Linked DNA regions of Kluyveromyces lactis. The protein of the gene in region 2 interacts with the protein of the main gene of each other region in a pairwise test. Links are inferred from orthologs where the notes say so. Each region holds a gene or a part of one and is shown on either strand. Other genes may lie near its edges. The genes, in order: CDD1 and MUK1.

Region 1 (2,438 bases), on a different chromosome or scaffold from region 2:
AACAACGGACATTAGCGATTTTTTCCTGCATTTTTTCCTCTTAGTGTCTTCCAAGATTTACAGCTGCTATGTCAGTAAGTGCAGTTCAGAAACACCTTCTATATCACTTGGAATACGTTTGGTATAAATAAGTGAGAGAGAGGAGTAGAAAGAGCTGTATCTGAGCTTCTCTCATCGCATCTCGTTCTCATGTTCTTTATTAAAGGTCGAAACAAAAAATTTTATTTGAAAAGTCAGATGAGTTTAAATGTCATACTTTTCTTTTAATTCTACAGTGCGAAGACTCCGCATTATCTATGACACATTTCTAAATATCTTAGGAACAACCTCGGTTTAGGGCGATTGAGAGAATAGTGCTTAGAAAATTTTGATTAACTGGCGGTTACTTCTGATCCTAAGTAGCTAGCTTATGAGAAGGTGTTTTCCAAAGGCATGTTTTCTTAACTTTCTCTCAAAACGCTAATGAATAATTACTATATAGAACTTTCTTGATTTTTGATTTCGTTTCTTACTATGGAAAAGTTCAAATCTTGCACAAAAAAGAGTCGAATCTTAGCTCACCTATGAAAGTGATCTGGGCCGAAGCTTTCTGGCAATAGTTCATTGAGGGTCATAATTTTTTTGACAGAGGTGTCGCAGTTTGTCATTATTATTGGCAGATCTTCTTTTCCAAACTCTCTGATCGTTTGCCGACAGATTCCACATGGCGGAATGTAATTATCTCTCATATCGCTGTTGATAGCGACACAAACCCAATCTGCTCTGTGGGAGCTTGTGACAGCTTTCACGATAGCAGCTCTTTCTGCACATATGGTGGCTCCATACGTAGCATTCTCCACATTGCTTCCTGTGATATAAGTACCATCTTTTGTCAGTATGCAACATCCGACCCTAAATTTTGAATATGGACTATAGGAACCACTTTTTGCTTTTTGACTCTCTAAAATGGCTCTATCTACCTGTGTAGGTTCAATACCGTCCAGTTTGCTCTTGATCTCCATTTTATACTGCAATGATGCGTATTCAGTAGCGAACTGGGTCCAGCGTGTATTATACGCTCGCCTCTTGGTTTCTTTATACAACGATGGCTGATATCTTCTTGTGTGAGAAATACATCGTTATCATATCGAGATTTTATATAATGAAATATGTCACTATCTGCTTGATTTCGTCTTGGCTGCTTTTACTTACAAAAAATTACCGTTGATCGCAAAGCACATATGAACTATATGTATGTAAATATAGTAAAGCTAACAGTTCCCGTTTGTCTACTGATACAGTTTTCCCGCCATATTAGATGCTCGCAGGGGTATAGTACGATGCTCTTCCTTAAGTCCTATCACGTTTTGTGTCATGCTAAACATGTACGAGGGTCCAAAAATTCTCGTCACGTGACCTGAAGTGTCAGCGCTCAAACTAAAGCGGAAGAAGAAAGAAAGAAGAAAGAAAAAAAAAACTGAAACTAGGTATAAGTCAGGAACGAGAAAAGGTGAAAGCTTGAACATAAAACAGCAGTTGTGGAAAGAGGAGAACGAGAAGCTGATTTCGCCTTACTTGACACCACTGCATTATTTTTTTTTTCCTATTTTAACGCAAAGGAGAGTACCTTTATCGCTGCTAACTTTGCTGAAGGACCTTGTGGTTTCCTTGTTTTCTTATTCACGTTGTCTTCGAATTAGTATACTTTTTTGTTTGGTTTGATTTGACTCATTTACTGGTGCAACTTCAATTATCGCTGGTTAAAGGTCAAAATTAATAAGCAGATTAGGTTTCCTAGTTTGAGAATTTGTTACATATCACTATTGCTTTTATTCTACTGGTTCTGAGCTGCAAATCAGATCCTGTAAGTCTGCGTCTTTCTCTTCTTATGATTCAACTACACCCATTCATAATCCGATTATTGAGGCATCCTTGATTTTATGCAAATACATCTCCAACGGATTACTATAATAAATGGATTCCTCCACTAATATAACATCACGGTTATGGAACCAGCAGGTTCATGAACCTTCAAAGGTTCGAGTACAGAATGTCGATTCTTTGTATCTCATCTCATATTGTGATCGGTTGACGCCGATCATGAGCAACTTTAACGTATATCTTTACATCGATATCCCAACGATTGATTATTATAATGATGAGCTTAAGGATAACAGGCTCTCTCGAATAAACAAAAAGTTTAAGTTGCATAGGCTGAGAGATAAAATTTTGAAGAGTATAATAGGTGAAAATGATGAACTTTGGACACTTTCAAGACAACTCGCAGGCGATTTTGATTTCCATTTGGAAATTTCTTCTAGTGGCTCATTGAGATACGTAGAGACAGTCAAGTTTTTGATAGAGACTGTTTGGACGGAACTAAAAGAAACTCTTGGCGAAAGATGTCATATCAATTATAAAATAAAAGTCACTCCAACCTCTTTGAAATGGTTTACCAC
Region 2 (3,867 bases):
GATAATGCAGAGCTCAGAAGGGGTCATGTAGCAGCTCATAAAAAATATGGTATCTGGACCACTTTGAACAGTGCTCAATGCGCAGTTTATGTTTCTATTTCGAAGTTGTTGGCTAAAGAGCATGAACCATCTTTGCCATCAATTATCAACGACGAACTAATACGGCTTCATGTGGGACAAGGTCAGGATATATACTGGAGAGATGATGGGATTGTTCCTAGTGTGAACGAGTACTATGAGATGGCTAAGAACAAAACTGGAGGATTATTTAGGTTAATGGTGAGACTTTTACATGCCTTGTCGAAAAAAGAGCTTGCACAGAAATATGATCTTATACCGTTAGCTAATGCAGCTGGGATCTTGTATCAAATACGAGATGACTATTTAAATCTATTCTCCAAGACAATGTTTGAACAGAAGGGATTCGCTGATGATCTAACCGAGGGGAAATTTTCCTTCCCAATAATTCATGCCATAGCTAGTTCAAGGAATGAAGGTGATAACGATGATTATGTCCTTAAAACAGTTTTATCAAGGCCTTCAGAGATTCGTACTAAAGAGAAATTGCTCAGTTATTTGGAGCACCAGACAAAGTCTGGTGAATATACCAGACAGGTTATCCAAACTCTTGCACAAAAAGTTACTACTGAATTGGTTCCAAAGGAGCTTTCTTCAGTTAAAGATATATTGTCGAAACTCTCCCAGTTAGACTAATTCTATTATATTGATTACGACCATCTTATATATTAATTCATTAGCTTCCTCATCATTATTTATTTTTATTAGCTAAATCACGATATATATCAAATATACTTTGCATATCACTAACCTTCAAGTCCTCGAATTTATAATCCTTGTACCTTCTCCAATCGGTAGCAGGACCCTCGGTAACCTCGATGCTTGGTAGCGGTACCTGTATCTGTGCTACATGCGGTGGTGGTGGTGGCGGTGGCGGGGTATAAGTTTTGATGCGACCCATCAAGTTTCTAAAACCAGAATCAATAACATTACCAACAGATATTAAATCAGAAAGAGAGTTAGACCTTTTGAAATCCGGTATAAATGACTCCTCTGTCGCTAGAGGAAGTTTCACTTGTTCACTGATAGACTCCAAATGCGGAAGTTTTAATTCATCAGTGTGTTGGCAATATGTTATTATATCCTTAGTTGTCAACGAGTCAATGAAAGATATCGCGGCTTCAAAATTCGTAGTGACATATAATTCTTTCTCTTTCAACCTTCGATGGAATCTGAAAAGCTTGATGAACTGGAGGTTCAAAAACAATTCTTTTCGAGGATTTGTTATCAAGAGATATATCATCGAAGGAAGTATCTCATCAGCGTTATTTTGATCAAGAGCCAATAGCTTATCATGCAATACTATTAGGCAATGTACCTTGTCGCAAGGGGATACATTCTCATGTAACATCTTATCAAATAATAACCCTACCATATCAAGTCTTTCTTTATGTTTCAACTCTAACGCTAAAAATGCTGGTAAATCAAGTATTCGCGAACTGCTTAACTCTTTCATCGTGTTCAATTTAGTATTCAACATCTTATCAAACTCAATAAACTCCGGATTATTACGAAATAGGCTTGTCATTTTCCATTCATTCGAACTAGTCGATTTCGCCTGTCTTGTTGGATGATTTGGGACACAAGTGCCAACTTGCAGTATTTTCTTGAATATTTCGCATTCACACAAATCCATAATCTGGTCCGTTTTGATATTATTAGCCTCTTGCAGCTTAATTTGATGGGATATTTCTTCTGGAGTCAACAATTGCTGATAATTCTGTTCAGAATTAGTTCTAGTTCTTGTTCTTATGCTGCTATTTCGAAAACTACTACTTCTGGATCTGTTGAAGATACTACTCAATCCACTATTTCTCGTTTCTCTCGCGTTGAGCATAACATTCACACTTCCAGGCGAGGCTAATGCATTAAAATGTTGTTGGCAAGATCTATCAAATCTCTCATAAAACCTTTGGAATATCTGAGATAATTGTGTAATCATTAAAGGCCTGGAATATTTAGGCTGTTTCAAATCATCAATGAACAAATCAATCAATTTCATCAATTCATCAGGTATACTAGCAATGGGAATCAAATCATCATTGGATTCTGAAGATTCTATTGGTAGTTCTGGTGATGGAGGTGCCGATGTGCTGGCAGTTTGAAGCATGACATTCGGTTTCTTTGCATCGCTATTATTGGAAATCGTCGAATTCAAACTATCGCGATAAGATTCAGTGATGGATTGTTTAGTATCGAAAGAAGCATTAGAAAATGGGGGAGTATGGAACATAGCTCAATTGCCATACATGAGCAGGTCCAAAGATGATTCACAAGCTTGCAGTGATAGAAATCATAAACTTTTTCTTATAACGTTGTTGAAGTAAACCAAGTTGCTGTGAACTAAATGTTTCAGTATGAAAAAGACATTCGAAACCCTTAATTATGAAGAAGATCAAATACATATCTCTTAGAAGAAACAAAAGAAAAAAAGCATATTAAAGGCAATATTGAAGGCTCGATCAAGAGATATCTAACAAGAAAAAGATAACCAGTACCTGTAGTATCAGCTTCATCTACGAAACTTTCTTAACGGGTGAATTTACAAACATTTCTAATGATCTTCATTTTAAGCTTCCAGAAAGTTCTCGGTTGGCCATAAGATAAATTAGGACAAACGAAACAACACCTACAAAAGTAGCAGCGAACAGATCATCTGCTTAGAATAGTTCACTGCGAATGAGCAAGGTATTAGCTATACAATGTCATCAGGCTTCAAGATGAAGAGGTCAAGGAGTCCTGACCCGATAGGAATCGATAACTATAAGAAACAACGGCTAATATATGATTTCGAAAACCTATCGTTGGCTCCTAGGGGAACCGATGGGATAAAGAAACATAAAATTGATTCAGGGTTGAACTCATTCAAAGCAGTTGTAAATAAAAGGATGTGGGATGTAGTTGAACGCGAATTGAGTGGTTCAAACAAAAATGATAAGATATATGAAAGAATATTCGATCATGTACGACAGTTTAACTCGCAGGTAATAAAATGGTATGACTGGCGATCTGTGGTAGCAAGCTTGTGGGTAAAATGGTACCAACAGCATAGTCCAAAATTAGATGAAGTAGATATGAATGTTGAGACTGCAGCAGATTCCAGAGTTGATCTGGCACCGAATCTCATGCATAGAAATGATGAGTTTGATCACAATGCGGACATGGACATTGACATGGATCTCGATACAGATCCGTACGCGGATGCAGACATGGACATAGAGCTGGATGAATAGTCCTTAGACATGTTTGTGAAGTATTATTATCATTTTGATAGAAGTATTAACACCTATAGAGAGAGTATGTAAACAACTGATTTTTACTTGTTGAACTGAATTAATGTGAAAGAATATAAGAGTGTTAATGTCAAAATTATGTTGAAGTATTACAATGCGATGTACAGTACATCATTATGATAAGCATGAAAGCCATCAGTGGATAGAAATTGAATTTTGACCACCTTGGGGTTCTTTTTGTATTATTTATTATGACGATAAAATTTTGCAACAAATAACTTAGCTGTCATCGACAAAGATCTTGCGTTTCTCTTGAATTAGAACCGGTACTTCTGCATCAGTAGTGACTTGAGTGCCAATATCATCTCCGTTTTTGATGTACAACTTAAAAGAATCTGCGTCAATTCTAGGTGCTATTTTACTGCACAATTCTTCAAAAGTAATGGTAGGATGCAGCATCAAGGCGAATATGTCATCTTTGTAATAAAATTTGATCTTGACAGGCTTTTCATCAGTTATTCTCGGAGCGAAACCACTAGGCGGCCTTGATTTGACT

The links.
Region 1: the proteins of MUK1 (region 2) and CDD1 interact in a two-hybrid assay, tested with the Saccharomyces cerevisiae proteins (2 studies listed by BioGRID). The link is inferred for Kluyveromyces lactis from reciprocal best matches to the Saccharomyces cerevisiae genes MUK1 and CDD1.

Annotation. Positions count from the first base shown.
Region 1 is NC_006040.1:1,552,548-1,554,985, reverse strand, and holds CDD1 (cytidine deaminase), read right to left. Parts: upstream 1,002-2,438; coding exon 558-1,001; downstream 1-557. Other genes in the region: methionine aminopeptidase MAP1, read right to left, coding at 1-31; SND1 (Snd1p), read left to right, coding at 1,954-2,438. UniProt on the Saccharomyces cerevisiae protein: This enzyme scavenges exogenous and endogenous cytidine and 2'-deoxycytidine for UMP synthesis.
Region 2 is NC_006041.1:2,073,452-2,077,318, forward strand, and holds MUK1 (guanine nucleotide exchange factor MUK1), read right to left. Parts: upstream 2,312-3,867; coding exon 770-2,311; downstream 1-769. Other genes in the region: BTS1 (farnesyltranstransferase), read left to right, coding at 1-714; KLLA0_E23343g (uncharacterized protein), read left to right, coding at 2,781-3,311; phosphatidylinositol-3-phosphate-binding protein BEM1, read right to left, coding at 3,591-3,867. UniProt on the Saccharomyces cerevisiae protein: Putative GTPase-activating protein.